Linked DNA regions of Kluyveromyces lactis. The protein of the gene in region 2 purifies or fractionates together with the protein of the main gene of each other region. This does not show direct contact. Links are inferred from orthologs where the notes say so. Each region holds a gene or a part of one and is shown on either strand. Other genes may lie near its edges. The genes, in order: RRP6, RRP43, LRP1, RRP45, ECM16, UTP10 and MPP6.

Evidence for each region.
Region 1: the proteins of RRP43 (region 2) and RRP6 purify together in Saccharomyces cerevisiae (affinity purification with mass spectrometry; 11 studies listed by BioGRID, with this or other methods). This does not show direct contact. The link is inferred for Kluyveromyces lactis from reciprocal best matches to the Saccharomyces cerevisiae genes RRP43 and RRP6.
Region 3: the proteins of RRP43 (region 2) and LRP1 purify together in Saccharomyces cerevisiae (affinity purification with mass spectrometry; 4 studies listed by BioGRID). This does not show direct contact. The link is inferred for Kluyveromyces lactis from reciprocal best matches to the Saccharomyces cerevisiae genes RRP43 and LRP1.
Region 4: the proteins of RRP43 (region 2) and RRP45 purify together in Saccharomyces cerevisiae (affinity purification with mass spectrometry; 7 studies listed by BioGRID). This does not show direct contact. The link is inferred for Kluyveromyces lactis from reciprocal best matches to the Saccharomyces cerevisiae genes RRP43 and RRP45.
Region 5: the proteins of RRP43 (region 2) and ECM16 purify together in Saccharomyces cerevisiae (affinity purification with mass spectrometry; 3 studies listed by BioGRID). This does not show direct contact. The link is inferred for Kluyveromyces lactis from reciprocal best matches to the Saccharomyces cerevisiae genes RRP43 and ECM16.
Region 6: the proteins of RRP43 (region 2) and UTP10 purify together in Saccharomyces cerevisiae (affinity purification with mass spectrometry; 3 studies listed by BioGRID). This does not show direct contact. The link is inferred for Kluyveromyces lactis from reciprocal best matches to the Saccharomyces cerevisiae genes RRP43 and UTP10.
Region 7: the proteins of RRP43 (region 2) and MPP6 purify together in Saccharomyces cerevisiae (affinity purification with mass spectrometry; 4 studies listed by BioGRID, with this or other methods). This does not show direct contact. The link is inferred for Kluyveromyces lactis from reciprocal best matches to the Saccharomyces cerevisiae genes RRP43 and MPP6.

Annotation. Positions count from the first base shown.
Region 1 is NC_006040.1:113,524-117,447, reverse strand, and holds RRP6 (exosome nuclease subunit RRP6), read right to left. Parts: upstream 2,736-3,924; coding exon 501-2,735; downstream 1-500. Other genes in the region: PHO80 (Pho80p), read right to left, coding at 3,545-3,924. UniProt on the Saccharomyces cerevisiae protein: Nuclear-specific catalytic component of the RNA exosome complex which has 3'->5' exoribonuclease activity and participates in a multitude of cellular RNA processing and degradation events.
Region 2 is NC_006039.1:318,832-321,937, forward strand, and holds RRP43 (exosome non-catalytic core subunit RRP43), read left to right. Parts: upstream 1-1,466; coding exon 1,467-2,606; downstream 2,607-3,106. Other genes in the region: RBK1 (putative ribokinase), read right to left, coding at 1-903; KLLA0_C03542g (elongation of very long chain fatty acids protein), read right to left, coding at 2,893-3,106.
Region 3 is NC_006041.1:1,510,361-1,512,636, forward strand, and holds LRP1 (Lrp1p), read left to right. Parts: upstream 1-1,242; coding exon 1,243-1,776; downstream 1,777-2,276. Other genes in the region: KLLA0_E16985g (uncharacterized protein), read right to left, coding at 275-793; DNA protein crosslink repair co-factor UBX5, read left to right, coding at 2,035-2,276. UniProt on the Saccharomyces cerevisiae protein: Required for exosome-dependent processing of pre-rRNA and small nucleolar RNA (snRNA) precursors. Involved in processing of 35S pre-rRNA at the A0, A1 and A2 sites. Required for activity of RRP6 in 7S pre-rRNA processing.
Region 4 is NC_006039.1:952,725-955,474, reverse strand, and holds RRP45 (exosome non-catalytic core subunit RRP45), read right to left. Parts: upstream 1,419-2,750; coding exon 501-1,418; downstream 1-500. Other genes in the region: KLLA0_C11121g (uncharacterized protein), read left to right, coding at 1-276; RNH202 (Rnh202p), read right to left, coding at 1,760-2,750. UniProt on the Saccharomyces cerevisiae protein: Non-catalytic component of the RNA exosome complex which has 3'->5' exoribonuclease activity and participates in a multitude of cellular RNA processing and degradation events.
Region 5 is NC_006042.1:1,597,097-1,601,128, forward strand, and holds the start of ECM16 (ATP-dependent RNA helicase ECM16), read right to left. Parts: upstream 2,801-4,032; coding exon 1-2,800. Other genes in the region: SAS2 (histone acetyltransferase), read left to right, coding at 3,165-4,032. UniProt on the Saccharomyces cerevisiae protein: Probable ATP-binding RNA helicase. Required for 18S rRNA synthesis. May play a role in restructuring of the pre-rRNA.
Region 6 is NC_006042.1:1,973,999-1,978,002, reverse strand, and holds the start of UTP10 (snoRNA-binding rRNA-processing protein UTP10), read right to left. Parts: upstream 2,801-4,004; coding exon 1-2,800. Other genes in the region: KLLA0_F21164g (uncharacterized protein), read left to right, coding at 3,723-4,004. UniProt on the Saccharomyces cerevisiae protein: Involved in nucleolar processing of pre-18S ribosomal RNA. Required for optimal pre-ribosomal RNA transcription by RNA polymerase I together with a subset of U3 proteins required for transcription (t-UTPs). Involved in ribosome biosynthesis.
Region 7 is NC_006039.1:782,856-785,267, forward strand, and holds MPP6 (Mpp6p), read right to left. Parts: upstream 1,029-2,412; coding exon 501-1,028; downstream 1-500. Other genes in the region: YIH1 (Yih1p), read left to right, coding at 1-384; snoRNA-binding rRNA-processing protein PWP2, read left to right, coding at 1,681-2,412. UniProt on the Saccharomyces cerevisiae protein: RNA-binding protein that associates with the RNA exosome complex. Involved in surveillance of pre-rRNAs and pre-mRNAs, and the degradation of cryptic non-coding RNAs (ncRNA) derived from intergenic regions and the ribosomal DNA spacer heterochromatin.

The DNA.
Region 1 (3,924 bases), on a different chromosome or scaffold from region 2:
TAATAGGATAGATAAGCTCTTGGAGTCGTACCCGTTTAATTTTTCTGCTCTTTATGTTTGATCAAAGCAGTTCATTGCAGTATGCATTAAAAATTCAATCTCATTATATATACTACTTAGGGCTAAATCTCTTTTAAATGCCATGAGATACCCTTATTTATACACTCTTATAATTCCGCGTAGTAAACAAAATTTGAATATCAACATTCCTTTTTGTCAGTTCCAACATTTTCGAGAACTGTTGGCTAATCTGATGCACTGCACATGACTATAGATGAAGAAATTAGGATAGACTGACTACTGTGAAAAGACTCCTTGCAACTGGAGGATCTTATGGGCAGTCTCAGAAAAGCTCAAGTTATCCAATCTGTGTCTCAATGCCTAGGCAGAAGTAGCTATTTCTAAGGAAAAAAACTATTACGCAAACGAATTAGTGAGCGAAATTAACCTGTAAATATGACTAGTTCGATATTTATACCATTAGAGCTGCTCAAGATGCTCTATCTTTTGAATGAGACGTTCTTACCCTTGGCAGGTTTTGATTTTTTCTTGATAGGCTGTGGACCGACATGTTCAACAGAGTAAGGATCGAATCTTCTTTTTTTATGCTTCTGTGAGTTTGTATTATTCTTTGTTGAGTTCAATAGGTCGGAGCCAGCAGCATAATCCATAATCTCATGACTTGCAGGTGGACTGATAGTCTTTCGTTTGTTGTTAGATTGAGATTGTCTTTTGCGCAACGTAATTACTTCATCCTTGTTCTCTTCAATCTCTTCCTGAGAAGGATCAGACGTGATGACTTCATTTCTGTTTTCATCGTTAGATACTTGCGTAGGAGCTTCATCCTCATTTGACGGTAGCACAATACTCTGAGCTTGTCGGTCAGTGTATTCTTGTTCTAACGTCCTTGTTATTTCATGCTGACGCTTTAATAATTCATGTTGTGGAATGAGCGTTCTCGTCTTTGGTGTATATCTGACGGCAGTATTCACATCCAAGTTTGAAATACCATTGAATAGGACAGATTTCTCTGAATTTTGTTCGTTATTCAGCTTTTGAGAGTTTATTTCCGAAGCAAGTGAATGAAATATATTCTGAATGGATTTAATTTGGGACGTTGTTATTATATTGGCCAGATCGGTGCCGTTACTTTCGGCCGATTCCAAAAGTGGGATCGCAGAAGAGTTGGAATTTCCTTTGAGATCCTCTAAAGTTCTTTTGATCAAGTTTGCAATGACCTTCGAATTTGTTCTTAAATGCTCTGAAACGTATGAGCTGACAGACAATACGTTAATGGGTTCGGTTGGTGCACCAGCCACCAACGATACAAGTAGTTGGTTTGGCATCACGTAACGAGGAGATTCATCATCCCTCCTGGCGATTGTATCTCTCCATTCATAAAGTCTACGGAGAAGTAATTCCTTTGAAGCCGGAATATTGTACTGAAACATAATATTCTTCCAAGGTTCATCCTTTTCAATAGGTGAAAACACTGCTGAAGACGGAACCTTTGGTCTGAAACTACTATATTCAAATCTTCTTTTAGCCACTTTTCTCGATTCATGCAAAACATCGGACATCTTATTCTGTTCCAGTAGAGAGTTCCTTAATTTATCGAAAATATTTAGGAGAAAATGCGTATCAGCTCTTGCATATGCAAGCATAGGCTTGGTCAACGGTCTGATTCTCCAGTCTGCCAGTTGATATTTTTTTGAAGTCTTGAAATTAGCAAATCTTTCGAGAAGATAGGCCAGACTGTGTTTTGGAAAACCTAACATCCTGGAGGCATGATAAGTATCAAAAAGGCCAACAATATATAAGCCTAAATCACGTTGAAGCCATATGATATCCATGAATGCACCGTGCAGAACTTTAGTAACATTAGGGTCGGTAAAGATATCATTCAATATGTAAAGTTCCTCTCTCAATGCAATAGTATCTACAATCCAATCATGCTCCCGGTCACTAATTTGCATCAAACAAACTATACCATAGTAAGACCTATAATCATGATGTTCTAAATCGATTGCTAATTCTGTGGCTTTACTTAATTCATCTTTCATTTTGTTAAGGCCTTCAACGGTGTCAACCCAAATTGCTTCAGTTTCATCCCAGTCCTTTGATGGGATCGGTTCTGTTGCAACAAGAATGGAGTCATTGTATTTTTGGTGGTCGATCTCATATTCGTATGGATGTGGGTAATGGGACGGGATGGATTCCTCTTCTGGGACCATCTTCAATGAAATTTCGAACGGTTGTAAACTATGGGGTTTGTATTCCAATAATGGCTTGAAAGGATGAAGTTCTGTGTTATCTACAGGAGTTTTAAAACTTAGTTGAGGTTTTTCAATCCTCTTGGATGGTTTATTGTTCGAACGATCATCATCATTTAGATACTTAAGTGATGGACCTCCAGCGTTTCCACCATTTCCGGCTCTAATGTTGTCAAGTGCATGATCAGACTTTTCAAATAAATTATCCATAATATTACTTATGGATTTCCAAGAATCCACAAAACTGTCTTTCCCTTGCTGAATTACATCATTATTGGGATCAATAGACAAAAGCAAGTCGTTGATTAACGATAAAATGTTCGTAGAAGTGTCTTCTAATGATGCATTAATGTTGGAATCTAAACTTTTGTAGAAATCGATATCCTGTGCAGCCAATGCACTCGATGATCTCACAGTTTGAACCAAACTGGAAAGTAACGTATCCTTATCCTCTGAAGACATGGTGGATTAGAGTCAGCTGGTAGTCTACGGGGGATTCAAAACGGGGCGAATCGTACTGCCCTCCAATATATTACTGTCTTTGACTACCAGATGAGATGAGATGAAGAAATATTCACTAATCAAAAGAAATCAGAAGAATTCAAATCCGGGTAAAATTTAGATGTTCTCTGCTACTGATGAAAATGATTCATTCAAAGAGTCGGTAGTATTACAGAGAGAGTCAGACCACGTATCACCACCGCCGCCATTGCCTTTCAACGGCTACGTTATAAGTTAATTGGCTACTAGAGAACTAACTATATAATCTTGCATAACTTCTGCTTCCTCTACGATGTACGGATTTTTTTTCAACTAATGTTGCAGCATCTCTCATCTCAATATTATAAAATGACGCTAGAAGCAGACAGCATCAGCTGCTCCATTTTATGGCAACCAATTAAGTATAGCTATATAGGGCGGCTAACCTGTAAGAGTAAAGATGGCACAATTGAAGGAAAGTAATGCAAAATCCTGAAACATTTAAGTAGTGAAACTATACTTTAATACTACATGCTTTTTCATTGTAATCTTGGGTAGTGATTCAATAACTTAAAAGTGGGTCAATTAATGTCTAATTTCCGTCTAGACATTATGAAGTGAATATTGATGAGTATTGCTGCGATGAAAAGAACATCAACAAAAATGGGAAACCATTTCAGTATCGTAAAAGACTCATAACACATTTTGCCAACCATCTTCACAAATTCAGCGAAAGATAAATTGAATCCGAAGTTGATTCCATCCTGGCAATGAAATAAATTAAAGGAAGGTCAACTATTGAAATGACTTGAAAGCTTTTTGCCGTTGCGTAGCAAAGTGCTCTTTCTATCCATATTGGTCGGATCATCCTCCTTCATATTTCTCTTTTGTGGAATGGTGATCGGAGGAGAATCACTATTCTCATTAACAGAAGTTTCTCGGGAACGAGTTTTCCGGTGTTCACTCAGATTAAAGCTATCGCCCTCGGTTATAGATGGTGAAACGATCCTGCCCGTAGTGGATATAATGTTTGTGTTTAATCTACCATTTCCTTTATCTTTAAGATTGTTCTTGATTGTTGTACTAGGCGGTACCAAGGTGCCACCAATGCCAGGATTCATTGGATCGACCATTTTGAAGAAGTATGTGGAAGTTTTATCCGGTGAGTTCA
Region 2 (3,106 bases):
AGCTTTCTCTAGATCGCGTTTTTGATATAATTGAGATACTACCGCTCCAAGGAAGGTATCACCAGCCGCAGTAGTATCAACAACTTTCTCAACCGCTATTGAAGGAACGTGACCTCCTTTAACGTTTTGCTTAGAGGTAAAAACTGCACCGAATTCTCCCAAAGTTATAATAACAACCGAGGAATTTGATGTGTTTATCAAATTACTCTGATAATACTGCGCTAATTCTAGGTATCCCAGCTTGAAGCTCTCCGCAATTCTCGATTTGTAGTTCTCAACCACGGCTTCACCATACAGTGATTCGCCAATTTGAATGGCTTCAATTTCATTAACAATTAAAATATCAACAGATTTCCAGTCTTCTACTTTTAATGCATGAAATGGAGAAGGGTTGAATACTACCTCAAAGTTTGGTCTATTTGCCTTTATCCAATTCATGATGGAAGGAGGATCAGGAATTTCATGTTGAAACACAATGAATTCTTTGGCGTTATTTTGAAACATCACTTCAAGCTGCTTATCAGAATACATAGTCTTACTGTTCGCTCCTGCTGTAATCATGATTCTATTTTGTCCCTTAGCTTTTTCCACTATAATTACTGCAACACCAGTTGACTCGTCATCAACCTCTTCAACATATTCTGTATTGATGTTATGATACTGCAATTTTGATAGTAGTTGATTTCCAAATGAATCAGAACCTACGTGGCCAACCATCCTAATGTTGCTTGTCTGGTCATCAGATGGTTTGGTTAATTTCGCGAGCGAAATGCATTGATTCAACCCCTTACCACCAGCATGTGTTTCAAACGAATCCGCAACGAAGGTCTCTCCTGCTACCGGAACACGCTCCGTATACGTGACCAAATCAAAATTTAACGATCCCACGACAACTATGCCCATACTGTTGTCTTGTTTACTTTGGGGTCCAAGCTCTTTATGTCGCAGTTAATGCATTGTATATACTGTCAAATCCTGCATATAATTCTTATCATTTCGTTTCAGATGTCCATAAATAAACCCAAAGCAGAGAACAAAACGGTACCTTTTTACATTTAAGCTAATTAAAAGTAACGAAGATGTAACGTACCACTTGACATCTATCCCACCTTTCGCTGGATTAGCTGTTATTTAGGGTATATCACATCAATATATCGGTCACGTGAGAATTATATTCTTTTAAGCAGCCTAGGGAGTCCGCAGATCTATTCAGAACCTTGTCACTTAAGAATTGAAAGGCATAACCAGTATACTGTATCGATTCCTGATAGTGTTCGACCCTCTCAGGGGTTTATACCAGTGTTTTCCATCCATTATTACTGCATAAATCTTTCAAACCTTCATAACGTCAAGGATGTATAAAAAAGTGAAAAACTTCAACTAGGTCTTTTACAAACGATTATAGCTCATCGCATGGGCTTAAGGATGGAGGAACTCCGCCAAGGAGTTGCTACAACCGATCAAGTATGACTGAAAGTATTGATATACATCCAATAGTTTTCCCACCCGAAGTTTTAGCTCGAATTTCGCCTGACATCTCCTTACAAAGACATTTGTCTTTGGAAACTCGACCATGTTCAAGAGGATTCGAAGAATTCAGAGATGTTGCCATTAACGATGGTAATATATCTAGGTACAGTACGAACTGTCAAAATGCAACTACAAATAACATTATTGGTTCCAGTCTTCTACGCTCTGGCAAGACCTTTGTGATAACTTCGATAACGGGTGGCATCATTGAAGAGACATTACCGGCGAACAATACTGAAGATGTTGGAGAAGAAGAATTGATGAAGCTTTCAGAAGATACTGATAGGCTCTGCGAAAATTCAACTATTTATCCCGTAGTAGAGGTACAACGTGGACGTGTTGGTGGTCCTACCGATGAAGAGATGATCACTTCAGAAAAGCTATACAAGACACTCTTACATTCTGGAATTCTTAAGAAAACAGCTTTGGCTGTATCGTGCGGTATTCGCAGGACTGAAGAAGATGGAAGTGTCACCACAATATACAGTGACGAGCTACTCGATGAGGAGAAAAAAATTAATGAAGCAAACAATAGGAAATGGTCCTATGTGCTTTATGCCAAAATACAAGTTTTCAGCCGTAACGGTCCAATTTATGATCTCTGTTGGAATTCTTTGATTAGTGCGCTAAAAACAGTGCAACTACCTAGAGCTTTCCTAGACGAACGTGCTGCTGATTTGAAAATTGCTATAAGAACCCGAGGTCGTAGTATGACAATTCGTGAAACATACGACATCTTATGCGACCCACACAAATCTTTACCTTTAAAATTGAACGAAGGAGAATTATGCTATGGTTCAAACTACGGAATCATTGACATCGAACCTTTAGCACAATTGGCCAAAAATGATGACGAAATGGACGTGGATAAACCAACTTCAGTATTATTAGCGGATATAGAAACAGAGGCCGAGGAATCATCAATTCTATCTACATTGTCCTTGACAACGAACAAAAATGGTCAATTCAAGGCTGCAACAATCATCGGAGGTGACTCTAAGATCACACCTGAAATGATAAAAAGGTGCATATTTTTATCTAAACAAAGATCAAAAGATATTGAATCCAAAGTTTAGTTGTGTAAGAAGCATATCGATATCTTTATAATACACGACATATTCAAACTTTCTTCAAAACAAACGTCAGAGTAATCTTGAACGTCAATCAATAGTTACTTACAAAAGAGGCTAAATTTCTAGTTATCTACGTGAGTTCTCTTTCGTACCAAATCATGACAGGAAACCTATTGAAGGTAAAACATCCATAAGAAAATGTAACATAAATAAACAAGGATGAAGAGAAGAGAATAAAAAATGATAGCGTGTGTTGAATATTACAACGTTTACATGCAAAAACATGTATTTATGCCTTCTTAGATCTAGTATTTCTCTTTCTTGGAGCTGGAGAAGGAGAGGGAGTACTCACATTCTTCAAATCGACATTCACATATTCGTTAACCTTAGCTGCAACACCACCACGAACTCTTTTAACAACCTTAGACTTCTTTGTGCCTTGACGTCTGTACACTTCAATGTAAAATGCAATGAATAAAAATAAGTAAGAAGAGATGATGGCG
Region 3 (2,276 bases), on a different chromosome or scaffold from region 2:
AATTTTGTTTCCCCCTCAAAGAGCGACAAATTCGACAGATTTAAGAGAAAACATATACCAAAGAGATAGAATTGCGTTGGGTATTGAACCTCTATGGTTCTGCAACTGGTGCCAACAGATATTTTATAGTGTATCATTACAGCTTTATCTTTTACTATACATATTATATGTGTATATGTGTATAATTGGTCAAAAACGTTCGCATGACTCAAATAAAAGATGGATCATATATGTGATGTGTCGAATCTCAAACGAAAACGAAGATTACATCCACCTATTGGCGTTGCATCTCAGTGAGACGTTTAAGATTGGCCAAGTTCTCCAGGATCTGGCCATCTGAGATCATAATTGGGGTTTGCGTATCGTTGCGGAAGTAATCTTCTGCACTTGTATGTGCTAAAGGTGGACAGAGTCTGAATGAACCAGACCGATCCATTTGATGTTGGAAGGGGGAATTTTCCGAATAGAACGCAGTTCTATCGAGTTTGACTTTGAGATGGTTCTGCTGTTCGTCGTTCCCGTTCTTTTGGTATAGGTTCTGTAGAAGCGGTTGCGGTGGCTGTATTCCAGCCTGAAGCGATGATGACTCGTGGTTCAATAGGAAGGATACGTTCATCTGTTTAGAGTTCCGCTGCAAAAGCTGATCCATTTCTGTGACGACTTTCTGCAAATTTGATGCCAAGGTTGACCATGATTCTGCATCGCTTGGCGAGAGCGAGTGTGCTTGCTCACGATATTTCTCACGAACCTGTCGTAGCTGTGTCTCTATATTCGATAAGTCATCAGCGACCATTATCTATGCTGACGAGAAACAAACTAAAGTACTTCTTGAGCTAGGCCAGTGTTGAAATTAAGTATACTGGCGGAGGGTGGATGTTACTTCAACAGTCCAAATAGGACTACTCGCCCTGTATTGAGTACAGGTTCTCCATATATGTGGTATGAATGTGTGTAATGTCTTGCGTTTTTTTTTTTTTTTTTGGCAGGCAAATATGGAATTTTCGCTGGATAAAGAAATAGAAATATTACTGAAGTACTTCTACGTGCGAAACGCACGCAGATTATTATGCGTTTTGTTCCATTGCGAAAAATTCGCAGTATTATGTTATTGATCGAAAATTTTGATTCAGTGAAGAATACTTCATCTCGGTATTATACAGCTTCATCTCATCTCATCTCATCTCATCTCATCGCTGCCTCAGTCGACAACGACAAGAACACGGACCACATACAACTACCAGCATGGAAGATACTAAGAAAATTAAACCATACATCTCGTATCTCAATAAACAGGTGGAACAACTCAGTGGTGAGATTAACAAACTAACGAGCAAGTCATTGGACGAACAACTGTTGCTTCTGCAAGATGAAAAGAAGAAACTTGATCTTTCAAACAAATACGCATATGTATTGAGTTCACTATGCTTTTCATACATGAAAGTCCTCAATATCAAAGACCTGTCACCTATCATGGCCGAATTGGCAAGGTGTAAGTCATATATGGATAAATCTAAACAGTTAGAAGCTAAGAAAGAATCTGAAGAGAAGGATGAGGTGGAGCAAGAAGAACAAGCAAAAAGAGTTCTACAATCTGCGTTGGGAGGTGGCAAAATGGAACCTGCTATCAGTAAAGTCAACTTTCAGGGGAAACATACTAAGTTTTCGACAGAGGCTTCCACCACCAGCACTGATAAGGATGGACTGGCAAATCGAGTAGTAGACGGAACAAAGAAATCAAAACAGCAAAAACAATCTGGTAAAGTATCGAAGAAATAATTCATCTGAAATATGTCCTGGCATGTTCATCCATGTATTCCTGGGTCTTATTCTGGCATTCTATATTAATAATTAGCATCGCATTTTTCACTGACATAACAAGTTGTATAGTATAAATACACTAAAATTGGGAAACAAAAAGAAGGAAATTCCAGTTGGCAAACGTGAACAAGAATTAACCAAAGATACAGGTTTCAAGTGGCAACAGAGAGTTACAGAGACCAGTAAAAGGATTAAAAGAAGTACATTTCAATAGCCATGATATCTGACGAGGATATTTCAACTTTCCAAGGTGTTTGCGGTACAGATAACGATGAATTGTCAAGACATTTCCTTGAGATGGCCGGAGGCAATTTGGAAACAGCCATCTCGTTATTCTTTGAACATGGTGGTGAGAGACAGTTGAACAGCAATTCTGGTAATAATAATGCCGGTGCTGGTGCTGGTGCTAATACAGGGGGTTCTGGCGGTCTGAGTGGCGACGTAGAGTTTGCTGAAGA
Region 4 (2,750 bases), about 630 kb from region 2:
TGTACAGTAACATACTGGGCTAATTCGAAGAACATTTTGGCGGCAGAAGAGCGGTACTTGAATTCTGCACCAGAGACACAAATTTCTATTGACAAACACATGATGATGTTGGATGAACGAGATTTGTATCCCGAACTTAATTCACGAAACGGATTCGAATTTGAAAAGAACGACTTGAACAGATATCCAAATTTAATACATATTGTAAAGTTTAACGCTCGGGAAGAATCAGTGACTTCCTCAACAGAAAGAGACATGACCAGACTTTATATTTGATTCACTATCGCTAAGATATTCACAGCATACACTCTCATATATCCACCAAACAGATACATTATTTGTATATTCATACATACAACATATAGTACAGAACAATATCAAACGCGCTGAACGGCATGGATTAAACGACTTCTAGCTGCCAAGTGTCTTGGGATATGGTACAACCATAAGCATTAATCTATAATTGAAGAAAAGCTTCCAGTTCTTCGATACAATGCTCCTTAAGTTTCACGAGCATTTTCAGAGCTCAAAATGTGTGCGTATTGGTTTCTTGCAATGGTATCTTGTTTCACAACACGATGAATTTGATCAGTGATTTTTTCTACAATTCCGTATGCTTTATGACAACAATCAATCAACGACAAAGCTTCCATCGGCAAACCACCTGCTTTGGAGATTTGAACAACTTCTCTGTTTTTATTAAGCGTCACAGTAAGCACACCATCTCTCAATAGCTCCTCTTTTAAGGAAGCATCGATGATTGATATTTCTGCATTGTCCTCACCTTTGATATTTTCTTCTGTATCGTCTGGATTGAAGAATGAAAACGTCACACAAATTGGAACATGCAAAACACCTAGTGACACAGGTTCTCTTTCATCAATCGGATGTACCGTCACTCTTTCACCAAGAACAGTAACGTCGGGCTTCTTAAAATGAAGTAACCCAGCCATTACAGCAATGCAACTGGCATCGATTAGTCCACCATCACAATCTAAAAAGTGAACATCAGCTCTAAGAGACCAACATTTGGAGCCAGCTATTATGCATAAACCTTCTACATCTAATGCTCCTGATCGTCTTACAGCTTTCTCAATCATCCTACTGATCAATACCTCTTCTTCTCCAGTATTGTTCCCATTCTCAAACTGAGCACCTGCCATCGGTGTAGTTTCGGTACTTATATGGAAAAGTCCTTCAAACGGTCTATCTTCATAAGGTTGTGCAATTTCACAGCTGATACGACAGTGTACCTTTGTGTTACCCATGGTAACAGTCACATCACCGTATGCTTCACCTATTTCGATCTTCACATCTCTGAATTGGTCATATGAACGTCCATCTAATCTTTGTTTAAGCTTTAACGCTTCCAGGATAAATTTGGATTCAGCATTACTGATCTCTATATCTTTTGCCATCACCTCTTATCGATTTAACTATTTTGATATGCGAATGCAAGCTCTCTTCGGCTATGGTTTTCTCTTTCAGTGCTGCTCATCGCAACTCTTTAACTTTTCAAGTGTTATAGTTCTAAATCTTTCATAAGCTTTGTCTCATTTGATATGATAGAAAGATGAAAAAGGAATAAAAACAAAATTGATGCGAGTTTCTCTAGGAGGAAGACCCTGTAGACAGGTATTAAGTGGAAGAAGATCAATTATTTTAGAGCTCAACAACGGCATGTTATGTGAAGCTTTAGGTCAAAATGATAGAGGTTATCCAATACTGATATTTCTACGAAATTATTATATGCCCTTACTTATGTTTTGTTAGTTTTGAAGAATCCGTCAATTCTTCCTTTACCCTTAGCAACCTTTGGTTTCACAACTTTAGCCTTTTGAATAGGTTGTTTCTTTACGGTTTTTGTGCCATTTGGAATGGCTGTAGACATAGCAGCTTTGATAAGGAGCTCTCTTTCCCTTTCTGTTTGTAATGTTTCGTTCTTGTACTTGTCGTATGAGTCGAAACATTGTTTGATGTTAAGATTTGAAGATTCATGTCTAATTAGATCCTGGTATGCGAGTTGTGGGATCAAGGAAACTAGAAGATTACACGACATTATGCATTTCAGAGATGATGCTATATCTTCAGGTAGCGATTTTGGTATTTTAAGAGAAGTAGGGAAGTTGTTGTTGATTTTGATGACTTTCTTCAGTAGCCATTCTACTATCATTTGAGGTTCGATACGATAATACTTGTCACCAGCTTCTTCCACTGTATGTGATATTTTCCCGAGACAACTTTCCCATAATTTTGGAGGTATCTTCTCCCAATTTTCACTGTGATTATTCGTTAATTTCTCTTGGTAATCAGAACTAGTATAAAAGTTAGTATCCATATCGAGTGCGGGTGGAACGCAAGGTGTAATAAACGCTAGATCCTCACTAGTAACTTTGTTGTTCCTATAATAATACCCACATATATTAAAAGTTAAGTCATATTTTTCGGCATATAGTATCGAACCATCTTCTAGTATGTGTCCATCTTTCCTGTTCTCTTCATTGATCAAAAATGTGGATTTAAATGTTTGCGAATCTGAAGTATAATGATATTTATCATTCACTAAATCTCGCGAGCAATTATAGTCACAGCCTTTACTGAACTTTTTGATTTTAAGCTGGTATACTTTATCGTCGTGTACAAACAGTTTGATAGGTTTCTTTGATTCGTTATTCGATGGATGTGGAAGTTCAAATATTTCGACAGGAGAATCCACTGAATTTGGCAAAGCTACCAATAGACATCCTTTC
Region 5 (4,032 bases), on a different chromosome or scaffold from region 2:
AGTCGCTTTCATTACCAACAAGCAGCATTTTAGAAAATCTTGGACTTAGCGGAAACAAACTCATTGCTTTACCATCATCAGTGATTCTTTCATTACTGTCGAGTGCACCTAGGTGTTGTAAGAGCTTTATTGACTTCATCAAAGCTGGTCTTTCGGGTGGGGTAGGGAATGGAAAATTCACAATATTATGAACAGCCATGCTCTTCATTTGCAAAACTATACTCTCCACAGGCATTCTTAAAATTTCAGGCTTAGAAAACTGCTCAAAATCTCTTTCGAAAACTGCAGAGGAGTATAAACGATAACAATGACCAGGCCCTGTACGCCCTGCTCTACCACTTCTTTGGCCAGCAGAAGCTTTGCTAATCCAGTCAATTTCGAAACTCTGAACACCATTATTTTCATCAAACTTTCTTTCCTTTGATCTACCACAATCAACGACGTATCTTACTCCCGGTATGGTCAATGATGTTTCTGCCACATTAGTAGCAACAACACATAATCTGGAGTTTGGTGGGGGATCAAGGAAGACCTTCATTTGCTCTTTGGTGGGCAATAGCGAGTAAAGAGGAAGAACATATAGTGGATCTCTATCCGTCTGACCTTCTTCAAGTGTTTCTTCAAAACCTTCTTCTTCGTCCTCTTCTTTGTCCTCAATATCTTCCTCATCAGAGAGTAAACAATCGTCAAATTCTTGTTCCTCTCTAACTCTGACACTGAAGTCGATATCTTCAGCTTCTACATCTGCAGTTTTGGCATCTATTTTCACTGTAGGTATGTGGTCATTTTGAATGAGAGTTTGATGTTTCTTGGGGAAAGGAAACTCTTTTCTTAACCTTTTTACCATGTGCGTGATCTCTTGCTGTCCTGTCATAAAAACCAAGATAGCACCAGGAGGCAACCTTTGATGTATTTTACACGTCTTCCTGAAAGCCTCTTCAGCATAGTTATAAGCTGTTCTACGATTGAAATGTACAGCCACTGGATACTGCCTGGCGTCGACCTTTAAGACAGGTGGAGAAACAGGGAATAAAGTAGGGTTTTCACTAAAATCTGATACTCTCAAGGTGGCAGACATGATAATTAGTTTAAGTTTTTTGTACTTAGCCGGATCAGTTGCATGCTCCTTAGCACGTAAGCTGACACAACGACTTAACATACCAATCAAAATATCTGTATTGATGTTCCTCTCGTGAGCTTCATCGATAATGATAGAAGAGTATTTAGAAAGTCTAAAATCGTTCATCATCTCTCTTAGCAAAACACCATCAGTCATAAATTTCATTCTTGTTTTATCCTTGGTAGAAGAATCGAACCGAATTTGGTATCCTACATATTCGCCATGATCACCCATCTCATTAGTAACACGTCCAGCCATAGAGACAGCGGCCACTCTTCTAGGTTGTGTTATTCCAATCATCCCAGGCGTGTCAGTTGAGGACGAATTACCATATCCTGCCTCGTAAAGAAACTGCGGTACCTGTGTCGTTTTACCTGAACCAGTTTCACCACAAATGATTACAACGTCATTATGATGGATAGCTTCCATAATTCTATGTTCCTCGGCGAAAACAGGTAGTGCGCTTCTCACAGCTTGAACAGCATCAGATCTCCGTACCTTGACATAAAAAGCCTTACGTGTTGAATTTTCGTTCACATTAAATTCATCTGCTTTGAGTCCATCTTCAAAGTCTTCAGGTCTCTCGGTCCTATCGACCTTGATGTTGGAGGAAGGCATAACCATTTCTACATCTCTACCTTCAAGCTTTTTAATTTCCTGATTTGCCCACTCTTTAAATTCTTGGGCAACTGAAGAACTTACGTTTCTGCACTGCGCTATTTCTGAATCCGATCTTTCCTCGCCGTCAGACTCACTCGACTCATCATCGCTGTGACTATCAGCATTACTATTAGATTCACTCTCATCAGGTTCACTTTCTGCAGTGGATGAATGTTCTTCTGATTCACTTTCGTCAGATTCAAAATCCTGATCATCATCCAGTTTACGCCTTCTACGTTCTTCTTGCTCTACCTTTTGCTTCCAGTTATACCTTTTCTTCGAGGCCCTTTTATTCACCACCTTTGCATTACCGAATCCAAAACCAAAACCTGACCCACCAAATTTACTGGGTCTATTATCAATAAATCCCCCAGTATTTGCCGAAATAGGGTGATCTGAACTGGTATGGTCCGTTTCATCACTATCCGAATTGCAATTTTCAGCTGTGCTTTCCTGACTGGGCCTAGTTTCTGGATGATCTTGATACCAATCCCTTACCTCAGTTTCATCGTAAAGAATTTCCCTGGTAGTTTCATCACCACGTCCATTTCTTTCTAATTTGAGGGCTTCTTCAATCCCTTGCCTCTTAGTTTGCCTTCCTTGTCCCAAAATCTTAGAACTTGTCAAAAGCTTAGTATCAATTTTATAGTCCTGAAGTTTTTCTATCAAAACTTTTTTCTCCTCTCTTTTCAATTGATGCTCGATGAACTTCTCTAACCTTTTTTTCTTCGTCCTAGAGACCTTCGTTTCCTTAGGTGTGAATAGCTCTTCCAATTTACGCTTTTTCTCTTGTTTCTCTTCCTCCGTCATGGGTTTCAATACAGCAGCGTTCGTATCTTCCTGATGATCGGGTGATTCATGATGTTCATCTTCAGATGAATTACCTTCTTCAGAATCAGCATCGGAAGAATTTTCAAGTGCACGGGTGAACTGCCTATTCCTTACTCTCTTCAACTCCTTCAACTTAGACATCTGACCCGCGCGTGCTTTCTCATTCCAGCGCTTCCTATAGGTACCCATGTTTGTTGTTCAATTTTTTGACCGTTTAACGTGCGAGGTACTTCTCTTGACTGTTAATGTCACAGAGGCCTATAACATTCAGACTACCAGCCTGTTATCAACGAGATTTTGATATATAGATGCAGGTGAGCTTGGATGCGATGAGATGCGATGAGCTTTAAAGCTTTTTCTGCCATAAAGGAAGATGAAAAAAAAAAAAAGAAAGTCGCTTTCAACGTTTTGATAATTCAAAGATATAGGCAATCTTTTGTACATTTAAGTTCAAAGAGCAGTTGATTCCACCGTTAATTGGGTTTTCAAGTACTCATTAAATTTGGGAAACGTGATAAATCGCATTTTTTGCCTCTTTTCAAATCATTAATGAATGGTTCCCAAACCTGATAAGCACAACAGCTCAACAGAGGATGAAGAAATATATGGTATTCTTGACAAGCCTAATATTAGGCACGTCCAATTTGGCTTGAATAAAAGATTTGCAACTTGGTACGGGAGTAATGTTTATTTTGGAAGAAATAAGAGGACCTTGGGCTTCAAGGAATCGAACAATGAGCACACCGCAAAACAAAGCCCTACTGAAAAGAAGTTTGAAGATCAGTATTGGATTGATACCCTATACGTATGTGAATATTGTTTCAAGTACACTGATGATGAAGCAGAGTTAATCGCACATGAGTGCTTTTGCCGATATAAGAATAAGCCACCCGGTAGAATAAAATACAGAAGCCCCGAATACACTATACGAAGGGTAAAAGGTTCTAAGCATGAAGTTTTCTGCCAATGCTTATGTCTATTTACTAAGCTATTTCTTGATAACAAGTCTGTCTACTTCAAAGTTAAGCATTTCGAATTCTATATTGTGTATGAGAACAATTCTACAGTACCGATGGCATTTTTTTCAAAAGACTTATATTCCTACCACCAAAATAACCTTGCATGTATTCTTGTCTTTCCGCCCTATCAAAGAAGAAGATTGGGTACTCTCTTGATTGAGTTTTCCTACACTTTATCAAGATGTCAGGGTCTGATTTCGGGTCCTGAAGTTCCTCTATCTCCTTTCGGTTTAATTGGCTATCTTAAATTTTGGTCTTTCTCAATAGTTTGGCAGTTGACTGAAGGTAATTTGAAAGATGTGGCCCAGGTCACTTTGAAGGATCTTTCCGAGGCCACTGGTTTTAGAATCAATGATATAATTCAAGCTCTCAAATATCTTGATTGTTTAAGTGATTCTGAAA
Region 6 (4,004 bases), on a different chromosome or scaffold from region 2:
CAGCGACTAGTATATCTGCTCTAATAGAGGGTAATTTCATACTTCCGTTGTTAGATTTTAGAGAAGAAATAGTGTTCAAAAGACAAGAGGACAGAGTTTCCTGAGCGTAAAGTACAGGCAAACCACCATCATGGTCTAAAGTTTCCAAGTCGGACAAAAGGTTGAATAAGGCATTCAATAGATTTTCGTTACTCTTTACCTTCAATTTATCCAAAGTCTCCAGAATAATAGTCATTTTCTTTAGGTGGGCTTCGGCAATTTGAGAAATATCTTGTTTCTGTAGGGCGGACTTGTTAACCGTAGACGATCTTCTTCTTCTACGTTTAGTCAAATCTGTTTGATCTTCGCTGTTTATGGTATTACTTTTCAACACAGAGACAAAAATATCTGCAGTTAATGGAAGACTTTGAAGGGTTTCTAGACCATCATATGATAGTTCTTTGTCAACTGAGGAGTCTATTATACTCTGAACAATTTTTAATTGGTTTGGGAATTTCAATGTTGGATACAAAGATAAAATTCTGTCTGCCATGATATTCGAAAGTTGTTCATATTCTGATTCCAAACAGTTAATCAAAAAATCTATCGCGAAACTGTTTTTTTCTTTTGGTGCAACAATGGCACATACCGCAGTTTCGAAGTCTTTGAAATTGGTTTTATTTTTGATGCACTTCGTTTCCCAGGAACTTCTTTCCGTGATGTATGTGGCCATAAATTGTTCGAACACCTTTGAATATGTAAAAGCATATTGTGGCACAGCGGTCAAGAGCTTTAACATTATAGTCTTCGAATAGGCGAGAGGAAGATGCAGTGCCTGGTTGCACCAAAACAGCATATATACCATGTCATTTTTGGATGGAATGACGAGGGATGAAATATCTGTACTTTCAACGATGTAATCGCTTAAAAAGTTGGTCAACCAAAACTTGCTATCTTTCGGACTTAACATTGGCACCTTTAAATTCTCTCCGTAGAGTACGTTAGATAGGAAATACTTTGCTGTGAAAGGTCTCTTGGCTATCTGTTGTAGAACCTTTTTCGTGTTGGAACGAACAGATCTAGAAATATCCATCAATGCTGTCACTAGAATAGGTACCAAAGAGAAAAGATCCGTTTGCTCATCTATACCATTGATGAATTTGCTTAACTGTGTTAGTGAAATCAATCTGAGAGCAACAGGCGAACCAGGGGATACGATGATTCTGAGCACAAACGTTATCCTGCTCTCTAAAGTAGTGAAGAAGGAGGATAAAAATAGACCTGGTTGATATCCTTTACTTACAGCTTCCACAAATAATGACAACAGCTTGACAAACTTTTCATCTTTAACAAGAAGCATAGACTCCGCTTTAGTGGAGATGAACTCTGAGTTTTTGGTCATGAAATCTTTAAATGGAACAGCTGAACCATTCGCGGTTGATGCTTTAGCATCATCTAGAACTTTAATGATATCTTCACCAGATTGTTCCGCACTGTTCTTGACGGAAAATAATGAAGTTGTCAATCTTATTTCGAAAACTTCTCCGGTCAGGTTTAGTGCTTGAAGACATTTCAAAACTAGTCCCTCGTTAATGGAAATGAAGTATTCAAAAACATCGATTAATTGTGACTTGTCCTCTAGAACTTCAGATAAATGTATCAAATCAGTGATGATAAATCTAACTTCGTATTTTTCCAACTTAATCTTCCTTAAGATTTTGACAATTTGACTCAATTTATCATGATCATATCTGATGACAGACCTAATGTATGCAGTGAAAAATTTATCTGAGGAATATTTGTTTTCATTACTCAGGAACTGTAGTAGATATTCGAATGGGAAAGAATTATCAACGAGTTTATAGATCTTGACCGGTAATTGATCCACATTACCTACACCTTTCAAGGTTTGGAAAAGTTTTGAGATTGTGACGAGAGCTTTTTTTCTAGCATCGTCTTCCTTTAAATTGGCCAAGATAGTTTCCGTAGCCGCAATGATAATGCTTTTGTTCAAAGGCAATGCGGTGGCAAGTACCGCGAGCATAGTATGAGCAGCCATTTGACAATCGCTTGAATCCGATGCCAAAAGTTTTGCGGAAATTTCCAAAATCAATGGGACCAATTTATTTAACTTATCTTCATCGTTCGCATTGAAAGCGATCACGTTAATGAAACAACATGTGGTAAATAGCAGTTGATTCGTATAGGTAACTTTTTGCTTGATAATCTTGGACAGATAATTTGAATAAAGCTTCAAGAAGTCCATATCGTTAAACAATTTGATCAACGTCAAATCGGTTGGATTCTTATCGTTTCTGACAAAATTGGTAAATGGGTTGAACAAAGGTGGTAGCTTAACGATATTGAGGATCCTTTTGAACACCGGCGTTTGGTATTGGTTCAAAGTAGATAGAAGAAGCATTTCGGCGTTATGGATATGAATTTGGAACCTACGAATCAACCATTCCGTAGCATGCAAAGCTGGAGTTAGATGCCATTTCGGCGAAATCAACATCAAATACGCATTAACTGCGTTATCCAAATCTCTAATCTGATCCTTTGTTTGAACGTTTCTATCAATGGTCACGGAAGATGCACTGAATAAGGAATTAGTGAAAACTTTGAACCTCAAGTCCAAACTCACCAAAGTATGAAACGATTCCAACGCTGTATCGTATATATACTCATAGTCCTGAGTAGCAGCAGTCTTCGGATTGTAAACCAAAGACGCAGAATGTAACTTTTGTCTTCTCTTTCTATCAAGAGCAACAGTAGCGTTATTCTGCGCTACCTGCGCTAATTGATCACGTAAAGATGACATTCTATATCGTCTCTGCCGTTGCCTGGAGTACTAGCAAGTCGAACCTGATCAAAAATCTATCGCCAGGAGATGATTGCAAAGCCAACGATTTGAACCTCATCTCATCTCATCTCATCGCTACTTTTTTTTTCTTTCACTCTTTAAAATTTTCGATTTGTTCATGCTGCGGTGAAAAGAAATTCATTTATGGTCACGTGTATGAAAATGGAGTGATACCATAAACTTGGGTCAAGTCTCCCCGTAGCTCAATATGCAAGCTACTGGTCAGTTTCCACCTGCTTTCGGATCTATTGAAGTACATACAGACTTAAGAGTTGTTTCAATACATCATGTGCCGTGCAAGGTCACACTACAAGTAATGGCTAGTTTCTGAGGAATTTCGGATCTCAGCCAACCGTATAAGCATGTTTGGCATAAACAAGGCTCATAGCAGCTATCTACTTAGCAATGCCTCAACGTTTCCATTTGAGGGTGTGTGTGAGTTGTGTGCGTTGGGCCTGCGTTCAGACTGGCTTTTCAGCAAAGGACCGGCTCATATAAGAACAAAAGAAAAACACACCTGGCTGGAGCGATGTGGTTATGCGGCGATGTCTCTGCGATTAAACTTAGATCCGAGATCTAGGCGGATGGTTCGTCCGAACCAATCTCAATGCAAAGGCTTGGGTGAACTGCAAAAATGTTTTCTTCTGGTAAACAAACTACTTTTTCGGAAGTTTGAGGCTGAGCACCTTCCTTACCTTAGTTTGCATTATGTAATTTACCGCATTATAAATTTTGTACCGTTTATTTTATATATAGGCAACGACAGGTTTAAGGAACCTTCTATCAAGATTGAATAGCGATGAGCTTAGGGGTTACAACTTGCGGAGAGATTGTTTATCCAAATAACGACATCAGTTATTGAGCCATTAATAATTCAGTCATGAAGTGTAGTACTTTGTTGTTATCTTTGGCTTTAGCTTTAGATTCCGTTTCTGCACGCGAAGGGTGCGATAAGAAATTGAGAGAGTCCTCTCATAAGGAGAAAGAGTTCAACCTAACTCGTGAATACGCTGCTGAGGTTGCTAGAGGTGTTGTTAAGTATGGTGACTTGGTTCATGTTTCTACTTTGAAGGATGGAAAGACTCCGGTGACTTTCCCAGAATACTATGTATCTTCTGATTTATGTGAGGGTGTGAATTCCACAGGTAACCCAATCTTGGTC
Region 7 (2,412 bases), about 460 kb from region 2:
GACAGAAAGAGCACGTTTATTGCGTTTGCTACTAAAGCCAATTCTGAAGAAGAGGCATTCGATAAGCTTGAGCTGTTAAGAACCGATAATAAAATTGCTCGTGCTAATCATTTAATGGTTGCATGGAGAATCAAGGGAGAGAACGGTGTCAGTTTCCAAGACTGCGATGACGATGGAGAAACAGCTGCAGGAGGACGAATGCTACATTTGATCACAGTGATGGATGCATGGAATGTAATTGTTGCCGTTGGAAGATGGTTCGGAGGAGTTCATATTGGTCCAGATAGATTCAAGCATATAAATTCAACAACTAGAGAAGTAATATTGAAGGGGCATTTCACAGAAGCTGCTACCTCTACTTCAAGTAAGAAGAGGTCAAAATAGTTCACATTTATAGAATGGAGTATTGTTACCGGAATTTGATCTACTCTATTTATTATATAAGTCGGCGAAAATAATATACAAATACTAGTGTCTCATTTAGCATCCTGCTATGAAGTTTAATTTCTATTCCTTTTTGACTTCTTCTTATTCCTCTCAGTATTACCATTACCATTGGATTTCTTCTGTTTCTTAGTCTGTGTTTCGGCTTCCCATAGCTTTTCTAAATCTGTCGTCGACACATCGTCCTCGTCCTTTTCTTCAAAACTTCTTTTCTTATCATTAGAACTCCCATCTGAACCGGGCGTAGCTCGTCCGAGTTTATTTCCGAATATTCTTCTTCCTGCATTTACACTAGTCCGTAGTGTGCTTGTGCTGAGATCGTTTGTATCGATCTTCGAATCCTCATCATTCAGTGACTTGATAGCAGAGAAACCTACGTTCTGTACCACTTTTGATTTATTAGCAAGTTTTGTCAAGAGTTTTACATTGTCACCTATCCTCCATTCTGACGAGTCCACCAATTTCTTTATTGTCTCCTCGGTCTGTTTAACTTTGTCTGCTTGTTCCGCATGCTTCATGAACTTCATGTTCATCACTCTATTGGATAACTTGCCTGTGACTTCATGCCGTTTCTGTCCACTCATTGTTACCTTTTCGTCTTAGTGCCCCTATTACCGCTTTCAAATAGGCTTCACTATATCATTGACACTGGAATACATTTTTAATGTATCATTAAAGTCCTAATACAGCTCATCTCATCAATCTTCTGCTGAATGGTTTGATCTTACATATTAGAATTTCATGAAAAGTTTGTTTACGATTGTCCGGAAAATGAAAGATAGCAAGAAGATAGAAATATCCATGGTTAAACCCCGTCGGACGTATTTCAGAATGCAAGGATCTGCACTATAAAAGGAACATTGTACAAAAATAAATGAAATAAAAAGGTCATTGGTAAAAGTATGAAAACAGCTATAATGAAGTACTCATACTAAGTTTCAAGTGCTGACATAAACGACAATCCACCCAAAAACCGACATGTTTCTGTTCTCTCTTTCTTTACTTCCGTGCTAAAGCTGTATATGTTTTCCTTTCTTTTTCATTCAGCATACAGGATTTCGAAAAATTTAAGAGAAAAAATTGAGCGATGAGATGAGATGAGATGAGATGAGTTCAAGCAGGAAGTGCAGACGGATTATCAGTCACTTGTAAGGACTTTGCATTATAATCAGTTGTTCAATTTCAATTAGTTGGAAGGAATCAGGTCAGACGAGCTTTATAAGGGTTTAGTTACGGATGAAGTCTGATTTTAAGTTTTCCAATCTTTTGGGAACTGTTTATAGGCAAGGTAACGTCTTGTTCTCTCAAGATGGTTCCAAGTTACTTTCACCGGTAGGTAATAGGGTGTCGGTATTTGATTTGATCAACAATACTGCTTTTACCTTCGAATATGAACATAGGAAGAACGTTGCCGTTGTAGATATCAACAAGCAAGGTACGTTACTTCTTTCCATTGATGTCGATGGTCGTGGTATCTTGGCGAACTTTAAGACAAGAAACGTATTGCATCATTTCAACTTCAAAGAAAAGGTTTATGACTTGAAGTTTTCACCTGATGGCAAGTTATTTGCGCTGGCTTGTGGGAGATTCTTACAAATATGGAGGACACCCGAGACCACTGAGGATAGACAGTTTGCACCTTTTGTTCGTTATAGAATCCATGCCGGCCACTTTTCTGATATAACTTCCTTGACATGGTCAAAAGATTCAAGATTTATTATATCCACATCCAAGGACCTAACGGCAAGGATATGGTCAGTTAACTCGGAGGAGAAAAATCTTGCATCGACGACTTTTGCAGGACATAGAGATAACGTTATCGGAGCATATTTCAGCGATGACCAGGAAAAGATATACACGGTCAGTAAAGATGGTGCCTTATTCCAATGGGAATACACCAAAAAGCCTGGTGAAGGGGAAGACAATGATGAAGATGAGGAAGATGTAGATTTGTCAAAATATAGTTGG